Linked DNA regions of Oreochromis niloticus. The protein of the gene in region 1 interacts with the protein of each later gene in a pairwise test. Links are inferred from orthologs where the notes say so. Each region holds a gene or a part of one and is shown on either strand. Other genes may lie near its edges.

What was found.
Region 2: the proteins of gnmt (region 1) and arrb1 interact in binary tests that used the Homo sapiens proteins (3 or more experiments, as listed by UniProt). The link is inferred for Oreochromis niloticus from reciprocal best matches to the Homo sapiens genes GNMT and ARRB1.

The regions. Positions count from the first base shown.
Region 1 is NC_031983.2:26,631,132-26,641,499, reverse strand, and holds the start of gnmt (glycine N-methyltransferase), read right to left. Parts: upstream 4,482-10,368; 5' UTR 4,098-4,481; coding exon 3,889-4,097; intron 1,631-3,888; coding exon 1,503-1,630; intron 640-1,502; coding exon 526-639; intron 1-525. UniProt on the Homo sapiens protein: Catalyzes the methylation of glycine by using S-adenosylmethionine (AdoMet) to form N-methylglycine (sarcosine) with the concomitant production of S-adenosylhomocysteine (AdoHcy), a reaction regulated by the binding of 5-methyltetrahydrofolate.
Region 2 is NC_031979.2:38,768,426-38,778,024, reverse strand, and holds the start of arrb1 (beta-arrestin-1), read right to left. Parts: upstream 4,036-9,599; 5' UTR 3,776-4,035; coding exon 3,717-3,775; intron 1-3,716. UniProt on the Homo sapiens protein: Functions in regulating agonist-mediated G-protein coupled receptor (GPCR) signaling by mediating both receptor desensitization and resensitization processes.

The DNA.
Region 1 (10,368 bases):
GCAGCAACAGCACGATCGAGTGCATAAATAAGAGATTGAATTGGCAGCTAAACACATAGTAACAAACTGTGGAAGGCAAAGGTGTGTGCATCGATTCAAGGAGATGTTTGATTTCAGTTATGGGTACAGGAGTAATCATATTGCAATTTTAAGTCACATCATCATTCTGACAAGGCAAAAATTATTTGGACACATTTTTTTTCCCACAAATGCATGTCTCTCATAATCTCTCATAATCTGTGGGACAAAGGTTGTGGGATAAATCGTTTCAGACAGATCCTGTATGGGCTTGCCATGCCTCCACACCCTGCTGCAGTGAGGTGAAAGGGCACTCCAGGGCACTGCAACATCATCGCTGGGTGTGTTCAGAGGTGCACCCACACAGGCTGGTATGAGCCTGGTATAAACTTAAACTCTAATGCCTACGTTTGCCAAGTCCAGGCATAATGAGATGTTTTGAAAGGCCCAGAGGAAAAGCCCTTAATCTCACCCACAAAATTAACAACACTTTTATTATTTGTGTACCTTTAAAGTCTGGTAAGTGGGCAAATGAGTTGCCGAGGCAGATAACTGCATCAAAGCCATCTCCTGGTTTCTGAATGTCTTCTGATAAAGTCAGCCAGTTGGCCTCTTCAATCACTGAAGACGAGAAAGAAAAGAGCAGAACATGAGGTATCCAGAGGAAATGTAGATATCCACCACAAACATGCGCGCACTTTCCAACAGTTTAAGACAAATAAAACAACTGAGAGTGCTGCCCACACACAGGGCTTTATTGGGATCAACCCAAGCATGGCAGCCAATGCAAAACAAACACCACACAGTCTTTCTGTTTTATTACTATAAGAAGGTCCGTGACTAAACGTCATACTGATTGCTTAGCTTTTCAACTTTAAGCTTACCCTGCCATCACTTCCACTGATGTTGCTCTGTTGATGAACTTAACTTTATGTTAGGATGCAAATTCTCTGACGAATGCTTCATTTGTGTCACTTCTTCAATTCTTTCACTAAAATATTTTTGGCAACTCATTTTAGGTTATTTTCCATTGATTCATGAGAGATCAATTTACTAGTTAACAATCCCCTAGCAACTCGCCCTGGCCCTTATCTCATGCTTTAACTACCAGTTGGCTCACTGGCTTCAATATCCTTCAGCTGCTTCTTTGGAGAGGATCTCATCCCACGACTGGAGCTGCTCCAGCTCAACTTGTACTGCAGCTAGACTCTGTAGTCCTTGTTCTGCTCTAATATTCCACTTGGGGATCAGAACCTGCAGCTTGTGCTGCTCTGCAGAGGTCACAGAGACAGCAGGGAAGAACAAGGACTGCTGTCTCCAGCTGTGGTCCAAGATGGTGGACTTTGAGCTAATGGTGAGGACGAGAGGCTCACAAAGACTGTCACAAAATGCTTGGCAAATATGATTTGATTACTGACACAAATAGAATCTAAATCTGTGGAACTGACCGATTCAGTAAATATATATTTTTTTAATTTTCATACCCCACTGGTCAAAAGCTGGTTCTTTTCTCCTGTCCCATCTCGCCTTCAGTGCATACTTGAGCATTTTGTCGCTGGCATCCACACTCACCAAATTAAACCCCTCCTCCACCAACATAATGGAGTCAATCCTGGAAAACAAAATCCATGAATACGTTTAAAAACAACAACCGACCTGTGAGGATCATGATTTGGTGCAGTAGGTGTGTTTAGATTTTGAGGGTAATCCCTGCTGTCATCTTCCCCTGAAAAAACAGTTTGATCAAGTCTGAGTGCGAGTGTGTGTTTGCTGCGACCGCACTACATGTGGTTTAGTAGTAGGTTGATAAGCTTATCGTCACACTACAGACAGGAATTGTAACCTTGTCACAGGTAAGGAGAGATGATTTGTATGGTAGCGAGAAGCTACTACTGTTTTGAAAACCTGACAGGAAAACGTGATCGCGGGCCAAACCACAGCCTGAATAGATGCTACTGACTGACTTTCAAAAATGTTTTCTCTGCTATTTATGAGTTAATAATAAACAATACAGACGTGTTTCAGTGCAACAGGGGAGGGATTCAATGGACAATAATGCAGAAATCATTAACATCTACCGGGTAACTGCAAGATAATAGATAACAGCAAAACAAAGCTTATGTAAAAAGAACAGCCAGTTTTCCAGTTTTGGATTAAACAAAGTCTTAGGCTAAAAGCAAATTCACATCTTTTAGTTTTCATCTTGGCATCAAATCTCAAAGGACTCGATGCCTCTACAAGAGGGATCAACACCATTTCCTCTAAAAGATGGCCCTTTTATTTGGTTCAACTGTGAGTCTGGTGACTGTGAAGGCCTCAACTTAACAGATCCAGCATAATCCTTAAGGTATGAGTCAGGGATTCATGGTTTCCCTTTAATTTGTCTGTATGCCTATCCATTCTGCAGTTATACATAAGACTTCCTGCCTCAACCTATGGAATCCTAAATTAAAAAACTCTCACAGGTTCAGGTGAAGGTGATGACGATCCACAGCCTGCAGCTTCTTCTCAGAATTAGAAAGCACCACAAACGCACTCTGGCTGCCAAAAATAGCTATTTGTAACCGTGATCCACGAGGAATATGTTTACTTTGAGGCTGCTGCACTACTGAGGCGCACCACTACTAGGGAATGGGGTCAGAATCAATGTGCTGGGGTGCTCCACACCGTAGGAAGACAACCATGTGGCCTGAGATGTGGAGCTGAGTTATTATGGAGATGACTGCAGTTCTGACATGAACATTATAAGCTCTGTAATGTTGATTAGCAGGTGAAATGAGTGCTAAGTGATGAGCAAAGAAAAAAAAGGTACATTTATGATAAACATCAAACAATAAAATGGTTAGAATGCATCTCCAGTGAAAATTCTCCATGAGAAAAACAACAGCTGAGGTGACGTATATGGTCTGCTTGTCTGTGCTTGGGCAATGGCCTTGCTGCTGTGTGAGAGCAAAGTCAGAGTATCAAGGGAGATAAAAAAGACTGCAGGAAACCAGACAAAACTCCTTTCAGCTACCCAGCACTAGTTCATCACCCACTGACCTACTAAGTGCAAGTTTACGGTTCGCTTGTGTTTAGTTTGCTTTAGAAACAGGAAATTTAAATGGACAACACTTGCTGCTTCAAGCTTGTGTCACAGACATATTACACCTCTGTAACTGAATCACATTTAACCAGCATGTGTAAACCCGCTGTGTCTACACCAGACCAGTGCAGGAGGCAGGACGTGGCTCAGGATCAGGTGCAACTCTGCACTTTCATTCATTATTCTGTGGCTTAATCCGGATTTTGTCCCGAGTTAAAAAGGGTCAGTGAGTTGAAATTCCACAAAAGTCAAACTCACTTGAACGGCTATAAAGTTGGGTACACGTACAAAAAGGCCTATGTGAGCTGAAATCACTTTGTTTTTACCCACATATCTATCAAGTACAGCAAAGAAGCAAACACCATCATCACTATCAGCTACTCCTACACAACTCTGTTCTGAAGCTGCACAATCACTGTGAATCACACAAGAGTCACACCTTCTCACATATTTGAAAAGCAATAATGTAGTCTGAATCGGCACGATTTATGGCGTCATCAGCAGCTGTTCACCTGCTGAATCATTGTGAGCTCAGGTTTTTGTTTGGCATATGCAGTTTAAATCAAAGTTTAACCATTAACAAAAGCGTGCTCGGGATACTTGGATAAAGCCGTATTTAAGATTTTGTTATGGAAATTTCATAACGTTTTGGCTTATGTTTTTTATATTTGATTATATTTATAGATACACACTAAGTCGAACGATTTTTAAGTGGATTTTGATGAAGCAGAGCTGAAGCCCCTGTCAGACGTGCTAATAAGACTGCTAATTTGACCTGACATTACCCTGTTCCGCAGGCTACATCCAGCACACTCCGCACCCCGTGCTGCTTCAGCAGGGACACCACCCAGCTCCTGTACTCCTGCGTCCTGCTCTTCGTGTCTCCGATGTACAGCTGCCACACTTTCGCTGCTTTGCCATCGGCGTATTGATCAGGAAGACCTTCGGCTGCCACACCGAGAGACCGGGTCCTAAACACGCTGTCGACCGACATACTGCTGCCCGTACCTGTACCTCTACCTGAGTGTCTGTTTGAGCGGACAAACAAGTTTGGACTATTTTAACTGGGTGAGGAAACACGCTACCTCTCTGACAGGTATGCTTGCCACATGCTAGCCGAGATGTTATTATTTATATGAACAACCTAAGACAGAAACTTTAACCCAATGACACGCCGTCGAGCACCGCCGCCTACTTTCTGATTGGATAACCTAAGGGGAGCCCGCCCCTTTTCTGTTTAGCATTGGAATACGTCACTCGAGTGAAGCTTTGCTAGGTTGCCAATTTTTCCCCTTGAGCTTACCTTCCAGGATAAGTTCCACACTGTATTCCATCAAAATTAAATTAAATACCTCAACACGTGCATATTAAAGTTAAAATTAAGTTATGTTTGACGTTGGAGGAGAAGTATTTATTTAAGTATAATGTTAAAATAAAGTAGAGCTCACGAAGCCCATTACCTGTAAGGTTTTACTCAGGGAATATAATCCCACCAACAGTGGCACAGAGGACTCGCCCCCTTTAACATTTCATCATCTATCGTTTGATCATGCTGTTTGGACGCATTGCTTGCGAAACATGCATAGTAAGAGGTTTTTGCAAAATTAAAATCCTAATAATTTCATTTTTTAACAATGAAATGCACAGTGCTGCAGTAGTTAAGTGCACAGGGTGTAATGTAGGTGAACAATGTGATTTAAAAAAAAAAAAAAAAAAAAAAAAGATGGAATAAAATCATCTCAGGACTCTCTTAGGCACTTTTCGTGCCCTTCCAAACAAAGTGAACTCCTCCTGCTGTGATTGGCGGATTTAGTTCTGTAGGACCCATATTTACTGGTAGAGGTGAGGTCATGTCAGCTACAACCAGTGCGAGCTAGGTAAGGTTTGCAACTTCCAGTTTTTTCAGAACTGCACTACTACCTTATGGGTTGTTCACGCACACATACACACTTACTACTTTCAAAAATCCAGATCTGACTTCGAACACAGGCATAGTTATGTAATTCAGCCTAAGCAGGAGTTGGCAAGAACGCACAGCACTGCCTAGAGGAAGTCACACATTAATGCACCTTTGGTCTAGTCTGCCAAAAAGACATTCCTTCCTGTGGTTGTTTTGATGATGGTGGTGGAGAACAAAATGACTCACTGCGAAGGACACAGGACATGATTCAGATCATTTTTATCCTCGCTGACACGTCATGACATTTGCATGTGGGCATTGTCATGGTTGATCATAAAGTAAATCACTAAGGCTACGTTCACACTGCAGGTCTTAATGCTCAATTCCGATTTTTTTGATCAAATCGGATTTTTTTTGTCTGCTTGTTCACACTACAAATAAAATGCGACAGCAGATTAAACAATATTGTTTGACTGATGGCCCTTAATATAAAGACTTCGGACTTTACGTTTCCCAATTTTTGCTTTAAGTTATTTTGTTATTTACATAATAATGTAAATAACCTAATAATTATCGTTATTGCTGTTTTAGAGGAGCGGTGCTTCAAAGGATAGCTGCAGATTTCTGTCAGAATCTGCAGATTATACAGTACAAATAAAATGTTCACGTTGTCTTCCCAACAGTTTCACTGACATCTACACTGGATGGCCAGGAAGCGTTCGCGATGTCTTCTCGGGCGCTTCTCCGGCGCTGATAATTGGTGTCTGTCTTGTGTCAGTGACGTAAAAGACGGATTTAATGCGACATGACCGTTCAAACAGCAGTCGCCTTCTAAAACATCAGATATGTATCGGATTCAGTACCACATACGAAAGTGACCCAGATCGGATTTGAAAATATCGGATTTGTGCCGTTCACACTGTCATACCATGATCGGATATGGGTCGCATAGGGTAAAAAAAAAAAAAAAAAAAAAAAAAAAAAAAAAAAATCGGATTTGATGCGCTTTCGCCTGCAGTGTGTACGTATCCTTAGGCTTAATATTAAGGGCCATCAGTCAAACAATAATGTTTGCTCTGGGTCTAAACAGAGCGCGTTGTGTGTGACATCTTCTTTTGCTCATGCGGGCCGCTTTGAGCGTTCACACTAGAGCGCGTTTGCTGTCGCATTTTATTTGTAGTGTGAACAAGCAGACAAAAAAATCGGATTTGATCAAAAAATCGGAATTGCAGTGTGAACGTAGCCTAAGAGCAACCTTGTAGCATTTTGTATAATCTTTGCTTCTAAAAGAATAAATGGACCTAAATCATGGCCAGAAATTGCACCCCAAAGCTTAACAGAATGAGCAAACAGTGGTTTAGTTTTTGCTTTAATTTGTCACCTGCCCGTATACACAGTCACTGAAAAGATAAGTGATGATCAAAGTTCCAGTCTGAGTACACACAGGTGTGTGTGTGTGTGTGTGTGTGTGTGTGAGAGATATATGAGAGAGAGACTCTAATACAGTTTGTTGAATGTATGCGTTAAATTAATCATTGTATCCCTTCTGAAGTATTGCGTCAATGCTCTTGTTACAACTTGAAACAGGAAGTGAGTGCTGTGAAGTTCAGAGATTAGTCAGATGGCGGAACAGATGAAAGGGAAAACGGTTACATTTCAACGTGTTGTTTTCAGTAGGACCGTGATTGACACCACTTCCAGCGCAGAGCCAAACTTTGCTGGAAATCACCTCCTATCAATCAAATCAAATTTAAGATTGACACAGTTACTGCCAGTTTGTCGGCTGCACATCATGTGAATCTTTTATTCCACCACATCCCAAAGGTGCTCTGTTTGACTGAGATCTGGTGAATGTGGATGCCATTTGAGTACAGCGAACACAAGTCATGTTCGAGAAACTAGTGAGATGATTAAAAGTTTTTGGTATGTGGTGTTATCCTACTGGAAGGAGCCATCAGAAGTGGGGTACACTGTGCTCATAAAGAGATGGACATGGTCAACAGTATTCAGGCAAATGTGCAAACAAATGTTGCAGCAGAAACAGAGTCCGGAGACCGGCTGATGGGTTGTTGAAGCGACCTGGAAATTTCCCTTAGAGCTCTGACATCAACAAAGGATTTTTAGCCAGTAAACTGCCGCTCGCTGGATATTTTCATTTTTTCACATATATATCATCTGTAAACTCTGGATATGGTTGTGTTCTAAAATCCCAGCAGATCAGCAGTTTCTGAAATACTCACACCAGCTCGTCTGGCACCAACAACCGTGTCACTTTCAGAGCCACGTAAACAACCTTCCTTCTCTTTACTGATGCTCAGTTTGAACTTCAGCAGGTTGTCTTGACCATGTATACATGCCTAGGTGCAATGAGTTGCTCAATTCTGATTGACTGATCAGACATTGTTAGTGACGAGTAGCTCAACAAGTGTACTTAAAGTGGCCAGTGAGCGCGAACAGATGAAAAAAATGGGACAAATAATTTTTTGCTAAATAAAATTGAAAGAAAAACACAAGTCCGATAATTTATTGATCAATACACCTACAACGATGTCCATGTCTCTTTATTTATACAGCACGTTTCATTACATGTTGCTTAAGAAAAATACATTTTAAAAAATGTAGGTGTACAGTGTCTCAAGGCCATAACAACAAAAATAATAATTAATATTAGAGATATTTTATATTTTAAAACAGTTGTTACTAATGCTATGTGATTAGAAGATACAGCTTAAGTAATTCTGTTTCTGTTGGAACAAACTGTAATTTCCCAAATTACAATTTGACTCAGTTCTGACTGCCTTCCCATACTTTTTTCAGCACTTTGTTCTTGAGGACAGTAGATGGTGCTATAAGAGCAAATATGAATGAACTCACACTTGAACATGACACATAACTGACCATAAAATTACCTCAAAAAAAGACCTGAAATAAAAGTATACACATGTCATATCTTTAAAACTCATTTGCAAGGAGTTAAATGTACAAATATGAATGATTATAGAAAAAGGTCAGCATGAACATATTTATACATATGCTGTACGTGAAGTACACAAGTATGTTAAGGAGTGTAAAAATTGTTTGATTACTTTTTGAATACTCTGTACCATTTTATATACTGCTATATTATATGTTCAAGCATTAATCAGTTCATAAAGATGTTTCGAAAACTGCTTTTGGAAGAATACAAAACTGATAAAGTTGATGACTGATAGTGTGTATGTATAACTATGCCAAATTGTATCTGAATTATAGCTATCAGTGTAGCTATCTTTATACTTGTCCTTCATTCCTTATTGTGTGGGATAAGTGATGAGGGGAAGTTGGGGTAACACTGAATATGGTGATTCAGTAGAGTGAGCGTGGGGTAGGGATGAATAAGTATGTAACATACTTCTTCCTACTCCATTTCAGACTTAACGGTTGTCATTTCGTGTAATTTAGAATCTGTTCATTTTATTTTAACTTTTGTTTTTGTCTGAGAACGTGTGTGTATGTACATATATATTCGTATTTGTACATGTAAATGCAAGTGTGTGTGTGTGTGTGTATTGGTTTGTTGTATATATCTGAAATAAAGATGATGATGATGATGATGATGATGTAGTAGTAGTAGTAGTAACAAGAACAAGAGCACATTGGTTTTCCTTCATATAAGCTCGGAAATTATGTAATAAAATAAAGGTGTAAACCTCCTAAAATGATAGCTGTTAAAATGTTTCATATATCCAAATGTAGTTCTCACTTTTCTTGTTTTCCAAAAGGAAAAATGAGACGTGAAACATTTGGAATTCTTTACGTTCATCTATACATCTGGCCAGTTGTTCATCTAACCTACAATCCTTTCTGACTAAAAACACACAAATTAAAGCATGATTAATGACTATAGGCTCAGCCTGCTGGTCAGGCTTCTGAGAAAGCAAATATGACTGGAGCTAATAGTTGGAGGCCAGTCGGTAATTGGAGGTGTAGGTTAGAGCTACTTTGACTGGTTAAGCCATTTAAACATTTAGCGTCTTCTGCTCCCAGTGATGTGGACCACACCTTTAGGTTCATGAGTGTACCATTAAATAACTAGGAGACAACACCCAAGAATACCCAAGTCTACGATAAACAACAAAGAGCCAGAGGACTCTGTCATTTTGGGGTAATGATTAAGTCACAACATTGTTGCAATTAGAATTTTCTCTTTGCCTGTAACGCTTAACTACATAAAACCTGATGACAAAAATAGATCCAATGACAACAACGACCACAATCAAAATCCACAGAAAGTGCACCCCAGGAACAGAAGAAGCCTTCAGTGTATTGTTGCTGATGGGTGGTTTGACAAACGCTACAACGGGAGGAGTTGTGACTGGACCTTCATTAGGGTCCTCACAAAAGTTACCGTCAACCTTTAGAAAGCCTTCAGGACATATGTCATAGCCAGCCTCTTGTATACTAGGGCATCTTTTTTGTGCACAGTGTGGTTTGCACTGCCTGGGGTCTTTGTTGTCTGGTATATATTGTTCGAAACATGAGCATGTGTAACCCCCCTTAAAATCCTCACAGTTCTGCTCACATGGTCCAGATGAACAGCCTTTATAGCTTTGAAAAAAGGTTGGATGCGATACTTCTTGTCCACGGCATACATCTTGGAGCTCAACTTTGCACATAAACCCATCAGCTTTATCCGAGCACGGTCTCTCTGTCCATTTTTCATCACTTGAAAGTGATACGCAGTGTGGAGAGCAGAGTTGAATGTGGTTATTCCAAGATGGAAGAAAGGTGATGCCCGGTCTGCCAGATATCCACTTATAGCCTCTCAGTGGAGCTGAGAGGTTGCTGCAAGCACCAGCTGGTAAATGCAGCCCGATCCAGTAGTTCCCAAACAATTCCTGGCTCAGAATGTCAAACAACCTCTTATCATTCTTAGAGCACAACTGCAGAAGTTCTCCTTTCCTGTCATGGCAGGCCTCTTCAGCTGTTTTAAAATCCACTTCACCTTGGTTTAGAGTTATGCAGTCAGGTTTGCCATAGTGACTGCAAACGGCCCTGCAGTGGCCAGGCTGCTTTATATCCAATCCTTTTCCAAGAGTCAGTAAAACCATCAGAATAGTCATACTCATCCTAAGCACAGGCACTCTCGTCTGCAAGCAGGCCATGCTGTCTCATAGTGGAGTACAAAAGGTTGCCTGTGTTAAATGATGGGGATTTTCCAGTCTTTGTGCCACTGCGGAAACAGGGTCTCTCAGGAAGGAAACGAGATAAACACATTTTTTTTTTCTTTAAGCAGGACCAACAGCAACAAAATGAAGAACAATGTATAGATATACTAAATATATGCAATGGACTCTTATATAAACTGCCAAACAAATACAAGTAC
Region 2 (9,599 bases), on another chromosome or scaffold:
GGCATTACGTTACCGTTTAAAAAGGTGCTATCCAGAATACAGTTACTTTGTTGAAATAAAGGGATTACACAGCGGTCACTTCCTGTGTCATATGTTACGCTGTCCCCTCTCTATTTTTGGTAATTCCACGCCGGTGGAAACCCAAACAAAACACGCATTAAGAGGCTCTAATGCCTGTGTCTCACTCTCACGGCCCATGTCACCTCTACTGCAGCCGCATAAGAACGTGACGAAATATTTTTGAAAATTATTATTCAAAAAATAATTTAATATGAAATCAATAGGCAGAGTGTTACAGGCTTAGCCCTAAAGAATGTAGACATTTTAAAAGTAACCTTCCCAACACTGTCTGACACGTTGCTGGACTCCGGTTTCCATCTCTTTTCTTTTTCTGACTGAGTGAAACTGAAGGTGGCAGGAGGCGTCCTGCCTGCACCCGGCAGAGCCTCGGGAAGGCCCCGGTCTCCACACAGGACCCAAACATCACAAACATCATCTTCATTATGAGAACCCCAAAATGTTGATTCTGTTCATGTGGACGCAGCATTTTCAGCAGAGACTCAAACCTCAGTCACAGTGACACTACCCACTGAATGAACAGTGGCAGTCCAAACGTACTGTTTATAAGGTTGGAAACCTGAAAACATCCAGATGAACAGAATCAACCTTTTGGGATTTCCTTACCTGGATGACTGAGCATGCATCATCATATTCATTATTAGAAGCTACTTTGCGCCTGTTTTGTGTATCGTGTCAGAGCAGAGCGATGATGAGCACCAGGCTGTGACCAGCAGAGCTCTCATCGTGTCCACAGCTGTGCAGATTTTTGCGCTGAGAGCGAAGCAAGAAGAAAATCTGAACATGTTGAGAGAGTAAGTCTGGCTTCAGCCGGGCTGTGAGTGTCGGAGCGCTCACCGGATGGTGTCTGATGTTTGCTGGGACTCTGCACAGTCACATATTACAGAGGGTGTGCCGTCAGCAGCTTCCTCTCTGCATCTCTGTCTAATGCTGCCCGACAGCATGACCCCCCTCTCCTCCCCCCACGTTAATGTTGTCATAAATTAGCTGCTGTGGCTCCATTAGCTTTCAGCTTCCTCCTGAGTGGCTCTTCATCAATCAGCAGCATCGGGACGCCGTTTTTAGCCGGAAACCGGAGGGACTCCTGGGAGCTGCCCACTGCACGATCACCTGCTCACCACACTCTCTGCAATTAGGCCAATTAAACTTTAACACGGAGCAGCTCTGCCATCTGAAATCACAAATCAGGCTGAGCGGCTGGAGGTAAAACACCGGCTCCGTGACGGCGACAGCAGAGACGTTTATCAACCTAGGTTGCTTAAACTTGATCTCTTCTTGATTTTTAATCACAGCTGAGCGAACGTGTCGGCTTCAGACGGCCGCAGGGACAAAACACGACATCCTCACAAGCCGCTGTGCTAAACACTGGACATATAAATGCTGGTGTTTGTGTGAAATGAGAGAAAAGATGCTGAAAGCTTCGGTAACAGGAAGTGAGCGTCTGAGAGAGTGTAAACACGATTAAAGATTCATTGAAAGAGAGCAGAGCTGAATCTTCAGAGCCGAGGATGCGGTTAGAGCTTCATCGCACAGACGTGAATCAGTGCAGGGTTACAGCACGAGAGGGGCTCACATTTCATCTGAACACGAGTAACGACTTTATCACATCAAAGACGCCAAGACAGCTCAGAGACAACCGAGAAGTCAGAGCAAATATTATTACATTTTTCCTCTTTTCGCTCTCAGGGTCCAAAGCTGCTGCCACACAGTGAAGCACCTGGACAGGTACATCTGTTTAGAACCACCACTGAACCGAACAACAAGCTGAAATCAAAGACGTCACGTGTGGCAAAACACCTGATGTGGGTTCTGACGTCTTCCTGCTCTTTCCTGTTTTCACGCCACTGCTCAGGTTCACCCAAAGTGACGCCAGTCCCTCTGAGGCTCGTTCACACCTGAATAAACACACTTCCTGTGTAAGAGAGTGATGTGCGTGACTGCACACCCCAAACGCTCTGATGCATCATCATTGCTCCTTGTTGTTGGTTTTATTGTTGTTATCACTCAAACTGATGTTTGTTTTTAATCAATAATCCTGAATATTGATGAATATTGACGCGTACAGAGACATTTCTGTCACAATAAAAAACATGGATCCTTCAATGCAACCGTCTGTTGGAAGAACTTTCACAGATTCATTTGCTATTTTTCTGTATCAGGAATAAGTTTGGTACCTTTGAGATTTTCTCACACTTCTTGGTTCGCTCGAGGTTTGTGCAGGTGAAGCAGCAGCGCCGCTGATCGATCGGCCGCTCTGACACAGGGGGAACGCTAACTGCCCGATCGATGCCTGATTGTTGTGTCAGCTCTGCAGCAGCAGACGGCCGATGATTGAAGACTCCCTCGATACCCAAACTGCAGCAAAGACTCAAACCGGCATTTCTCGCCTCCTCAGATGTACGACCGCCGGGTTTCTCTAACTGGAGTGTGACCACCGAGCTGCACCTTCGTTCTGGCCCTCGACCGGCTCAGGATTAAAGTCGGACCTGGTTCTGCTGGGCTCAGGAACATGAATGAAAACCACCAGCATGAACACGTGAAGATCAGCCTCGGCCACGCACAGGAACAAGATCCAGAAAGTCCGTCGCCTCCTCTGAGCCTGAGCCGGTTTCAGATTATATCCGGAGATCACAGATGTCTCTGGGCTGCAGAGGGGAGGGACGTCCCGCGTTTATCAGTGCTTACCTCATGGCACCGGAAACACGGGAATCCAACAGAAACATCTGGCAGCCATTACAAACATCTGGAGCTTCAAACAGTTGTGAGCACAGTGTGAAAATTTAACCCACTGTGGGGAAATAAAGAGACATTTTCAGTGTCCTGACTCACACACCTGAACGATTGTGGAAATCAGTCACCGAAGACGTTTCACCAAGAACCGAAGAGGAACCAGCAGTGCGGTAACATTTTAAAGCTGCTTTGGTCTCATTTAGTCAAAATCAACCCAGACCATCTGGAGCTTTCCCACAGACACCACGGAGGAGCAGCGTTTACACGAGCAGCCAGTTCAAACAGAAACCCTTTATTACATTTTCTATTAAACATGAAACTCTGTGAAAAGCAGGCTGGAACCTGCAGCTCTCAGAGTCCCGTTACTTTCTCAGGTGATTTATTGTTTGTTCCATGTGTTAAAAACTGGGAAAAGCTCCTGGAGGCTCCGTGAATCAGCTGACTCCTCAGGTCCTCCTGCCAACTTTAGCTTTGACTTTAAAATCCCCGTAATTACTTTTAGGGCCTGGCATAGCCTGACTGCAGCATTAATCAATGAGCTGCTGATCACACTTACTGCTGACAGCTTTATTGCTACAGCACCTTCTAACATTGAGCGAAATCTAAATGCTTTATATAAAACTAAATGAGCAGATATAAAATAAAGACGATGCTGAAATCCAGCCCGTTGTTTGTTTTTTAAAGCCGGTCCTCACTGCAGTTAAAGTACTAATACCACGAAAATACACCAACCAAAAGTAAAAGAGGAAATATCCGGTAAGAGTCAAGCTGAAGGAACGCAGTGGTCACTCAAACAACCACAGGATGCAGAAGAGCATCTCTGAGGCCACAGCAGCAGCAGCAGAAGACCACACCGCTGCTGCTCAGCTCAGCACAGGAAACTCAGGCTAACGTTCACACAGACTCACAAAGCTGGACCACAGAAGGTGGAAAAACACGTCCTGGTCTGATGAGCGTCGATTTGCATCTGCGTTCAGCTGCTGCAGGTGTGACCGTCTCAGCGCTCAGATCTCCTCACACAGGCTTCCTGAACGATCCGTTCGATGCACTCAGAGCAGGGACGGGAGATTCTCATCACGGATGCAGACGGAAAATCTGCAGCAGCTGTGTGCTGATGTCACATTGATGTCATAATCATGTGGACCAAAATCCCCGAACAGAACGTGTCAGAGCAGGTACAGCAGAGCTCTGCGTGGAACAGCACCTTTTCATTTCCTCCCTCCTGATGTGTACAGCGGTCGTATGTGAATATTAAACGAGTCACAAACAAACCTGAGAGCGTGACGTGGCTCAGTCCTGTCCACTTATGCTCCACACAAACACTCAAACAGATTCTGGGACTGACGCTGCTTCCTGTGAAAAACTCCTCAGAGAGTCTCCAGAGCTGCTCTGTATGTCTGACTGATCAGCAGAGCTCGTTAATATTCTCCCGACGCGACTCATTCAGATCATTGAGCCCGAAAACACAGAAACCCACTCAGACACAAGACGACGGCAACCGCAGCGCAGAAACGCTCCGCCGCCACATTCACCATCAGAATGAACACGGCAACACGTTTCTGCACGTCTCCTTTATTAGAGCTTCGTTTTACTGCGAGTCACAAACTGAGAGAAAAGGACGTGTGTGTGTGTGTGTGTGTGTGCGTGTGCGCGCCTGTGTCAGATGACCAACAGTCAGAGAGGCAGAGGCTGAGCGTCCATCAGCAGCCGCTGTGTCGCTACGTCCTCCGTACTCAGAAAGGACTTCATGTCACAGGACGGTGACCCTTTAACGTCTCAGCCAATCCGGGCTCTGATGGCGGGTGCAGAAGTCTAAGCAGATCTTTAAGGTGGTTTAGAGGAGGACTGCTCTGAAGTGCAGGCAGATATACGCAAGCAGCTGTTTGAAGAAGACACCTGATCTCAGCCCAGACTCTCTCAGACAAATATTAAGAGATATATGCAAAAAACCACGCAGCTATGTTATACCAGCAACTGACTAAAGATGTGCAGGAACCAAAGCCGCTCCTCATCAATAAGCCAAAAAGTCCCTGTTGCATCTGAGCGTGCTCAGTTTGGCCTGAAATACAGTACAGTGCAAAGGTTTTAGGCAGGTGTGAAAAAATGCTGTAAACAAAGAATGGTTTCAGAAATATAAATGATTGTTTATTGGCCCCAGATGTATTCTGCCTTTGGGGTCAACGACCCCAAACACAAAGCCAAAGTCATTAAGAACTATCTTCAGCATGAAGAAGAACAACAAGTACTGGAAGTGATGGTACGGCTCCCACAGAGCCCTGATCTCAACATCATGGAGTGTGTCTGGGATTACAAGAAGAGACAGAAGGATGTGAGGAAGCTGACATCCACAGAAGATCTTTGCTTAGTTCTCTGAGACGTTTGGAACAACCTACCAGCCGAGTTCCTTCAAAAACTGTGTGCAAGTGGACCTAGAAGAAGGCAAAGGGTGCTCACACCAAATACTGATTTCTCTTTTGTTTATTCACTGCATTTTGTTGATGGATGAGAATAAATGATAAATGAAAACTTTTATTTTGTTTACAGCATTTTTCTTCACCTCCCTAAAACCTTTGCACAGTGCTGTAGATTAAAGAGGTGGTGCTGCCAGTGCATCATGGCAGCTCTGTCACTGAGGACACACCTGCAGGGTGAGTAGCACTGATGAGTTACAGGATGCACACTGTCCACATCCATGAAAAAAGACAAATAAGACACATAAGACGAAAGAGTGCTGCCGTCTCAGACCAGCTAAAGAAATGTGTCATCACGTCACAAGACCCTAACAGTTCCAAAAACACCCCAAAGCTAAGCTTAGCCAGCAAGTCCACAAGGAGACCCGAGGCAATCATGCGGCGCTTACACAGCTGATGGATAAAAGACCAGGACTCCATCCCTGTGGGACGCTGGCATCGATCATGAAGGGGGCAAAAAGTACCAGAACCAACATCAGAACCTGAATGATGATGTCATACCCCACCAGCTGTAAGATGAGCTAAAGAACCTCATCCAGGACTCCCGACCTCCACCCTCGGTCTGAGGAGAAACCTGCTGTTGGTACTTGCCTGGTTTCAACAGCATCACGGTAGCTAACAGGCTCAGGTGTATTACAGTACTACTCACCTGGTTTGAAGTTCTGAAGACATTCTGGCTATGAGCTAATATTTTAGAGTGGATAGGGTAACGGGTTGTTTTCAGTCTGTTATGAAAGCCTGTGTGAAAGCTTCACTGTGGTTATGTCACACCGTGATCGTGACATGCAGCAGTGATAAACCTGCACGCCACTTTCAGGTGCGTCTGCTCGTCATCGCCATTAAATGATTAACGTTTTCATCACACGCGGTTATATTTCATCCTGATGGGTTTTATAGCCAGCACTCAACTTTAACTGGACAGCTTTGCTGCGAGGAATGTGGCACGCGTGCAGGGTATTTTCCCGGCGCTGTGCTTGTGTATATGTGTTTAATTCACCTGCCAGTAGGGGGCAGAATGAGGAGTCTGTGCTACATTAGCACCAGTTTTGCAGAAGCAGTGTGGAGCAGTGGGGGAAATCACTGCACCTGCAGCGTGCTCGGTTCGTCTATTTCATCTGGTGAAGTGTTTCTGCGACACTGCTGAGGTCTGCGGGGTGGAGCGCACTCAGCTGGAAGATTTCTTCCTGCTGCTCACATAAAGCAGGAAACGGAGGCTTTGGGCCGACTTTCTGCTGCTGTCTATGCTACGAGGGTCGCCGCAGCTTTAACCTCAGACTGTGAGCAGCTTGGAAGCAGCTGAAGCTTCCTTTATTACCTCCTTTAGTAAAGGATGCATCAGAGTTTCCTTTATGAAAGGAAAGGAGATGATGGCATCCCACAATTCACAGCAACGACCCATCAGACCTTAAAGGAAAACAAACAGGCCATCATGTGACTTACTGCTGAGTTTTCCACCCGATGACGGCCATCTTTGAGCGACCACAGGTGAGCTCTCATCGTGTTACTGTGTGCACACCGTCTGTACACAGCAACCAATGAGAGCACAGCAGGTATCTGAGAGGAGCTTTTTGTAGTCCATCCGCAGGACTTTGTAGTTTCACCGCAGCAGAGCCTGCAAGCCACAGCTGATTCTCAGAGTGCCGCAGTCCTCCTCTTCAAGTCCTCGTAAACAGTCCTTCACATCTTTACTTCCCTTCCACTGAGGTCAAGGAAATGTGATTAGAGAAGATGCAGGAGGTCATTTTTTCACTATTTAACCACAAATCAAGACTCATCTGCTTTCTGCAACAAGAACTGAAGCCGCTGAACGTTTGCACTGGTCTGTGGAAACTCAGGGAGGTTCAGTTGGTTCCTGCAAGCGTGAAGCACCATGCTTCACATTTAAATTCAGTCCAAATGGGTACAGGAGCCAGTCTGTGCACCACGGTGGATTTTAAACACAGCCCCATTTTCAGGCGCACAGACTAACAAAGTTTCCAACTTTTATGATATTTTCATTGGGTGAAAGTGTTTTGCAGTCAACAGCAGGACACTGCCACATGCCACACTTCCTCATTCAGCTGCTTGCTGTTTGTGGGTCTCTGCCTTCAGCTTTAGTATTTAAGAGCAAACAAGTTCAACACTTAACCTGCTTAAATTCTCGTGGAATAACGAGGGAACAGGCCTCGCTTGCTGATCAAAGTGCTCCTTCATCAACCGTCCAAGTACGTTTGGAGAACTGTGTATAAACCCTACACAGGAACAAAATAAGAAACACGTGTGTCCTGAGTGCAACACTAAAGCCTCTGACCGGTCCTCACCGTGTACCGCCACGAGGAGCCTTCACACACGTCACTGTCTGCATTGGTGCTCGTACTTGTGAAACAGCCTCAGGGCATCAAGGGTGGTGATTTGGGAAAGCCAAGTATCCCAGAATGCATTTCACACAAAACAGCAAGCAGCAGTGGCAACAGCAGCAAAGCTGGAACCTGGAGTAAACTTTCAGAATGCTACTGTTGTTGTGCCACAAAAGTCAGTTTTAAGATATTTTGGGGGAGAATTTAGTTGTTTAGGCTTCATATGTGTGGGACTCATCACAGGTTTGAGTCGACTGATCAAAATATTACCAAACTGAAAACTCCAGGGATGTTTTTTCACCCTTTTCTTGGACGTCTCTGCGTCTCTGGGTCTGACGCACATATTGCTGCATCTCGACCTGATCGCACACCTGAAGAATGTCCTGACATATTTTAAGCCGCACACTTTGTCATTGTTTGTCTCTTGTAAGCGTTGGAGAGACGATGACTCAGTAGTCATTCCTGTTATAGTTCTCTGAAGTGCGTCACCAGGGGCGTACGCATAGTTGGTCTCTGCAGATTGGTCAGGCAGGCGTGAAGACATCCACACCAATCATCAGCTCACCATCTCATGAAGAAATTTACATCACTAGCAGATTCGCAGACACGGAAAATGTCTTGACAAGCACACATCCACATGGTGGTCCTTCCATGAAGCTACACCATTAGTATGCATGAGCTGCCTCGTTGGGGACGACTTCCCCGTGTTATGGTGTCATTGGTGGGACCCAGTCTCATTGCCCCATCTAGGAAAGGGGCTCGTCAGTGAGAGCCTAGTTTTTGAGCCTTTACCCTCGTATGAGTCCTCCATCGCCACAGGCTTTCAGCACACTGGTGGAGGATTATGGATCGGAACACCAGCTGGTCAAATTGTCTCTAGTCTCCAAAATATTTAATTTGGTCAAAGTCCCAGCAAAGTCCTGACACTGAGGAACCCTGAGTTCTCAGTCTGATACTGGGAATGCAAATGTGTGATTCTTCATCGATAAGCATCATCTGTGGGACAAATAAGCTGATGTTTTGATCCAGCTTCCTGTTAGTAGGCTCTTTCATGCTTCGCCTAACCTGAGATTGTGAAGTTCCTCTGGTGGATGTAACAAGGAGTCAAAGAGCAAGTCAGCTGACACCGACTATAATGGACTGACAAAGCTCTGGATTTTAAACCCAAACCTGCGGTTCCTCTGACGTCCAGCAGAGGCAGCAGTGAGTCCACCTCACAGACGTTACAGCGAAGAGAACCTGTTTCCAGCCTGATACACAAACTGTTCGGTCTCTGTGGATCATTTCTGCTTCATAACACTTGTACGTTCCGGGAGTCTTTTAATAACGCAGCTGGATTAAAGTTTGTATTATTAGGGGCGTGGCCTCTCTGACTAACAGGTGGATGGTGACACAGGCGGCTGTAGCTGCTAGCTGGCTGCTAGAGTTCACCTAAGCTAACTCGAGTCCCTGCACTGGACCTCCAGACGGTTGCTGTCGGAGCCTTTTGGAGCATTTTTAATGGCATTATCTGACCAATAACATGGCTGCTGTGAGGATGTTGATTCGATGTTACTGATCAGCAGGTGTTCATTAAAGCTGGTGGAGAGGTGAAACATGGGCTCAGAACCCCTGAAACCTCTTAGCACAGATCCAGAACTTGTCCTAGATCCCAGTAAATCAGTCACGAGCTCCAGCAGCCGATGCACCTGCACGCTCTCCTGACAGAAACATGAGGTGTGCTTTCTGTGGTGATACTGGAGCAATAACAGGTGTGTTAGGAGGCTGCAGGTGTGCTGGTTTATCAGCAGGAGAGAGCTGTTCACATCCTGTTTGGACTTTTGTATTTCAGTCTTTGGGTTTGGGCCGTTTCTTTCAGGAGAAGTTTGTCATTTTGATTGTGACCGTCACAAAGATGCACAGAGAGCGCCGGCCTGTCTGAACATGGTCACACCCTGACGTGTACCTGTTATCGCCACAGTCTAGGATCAAATATTTCAACTAA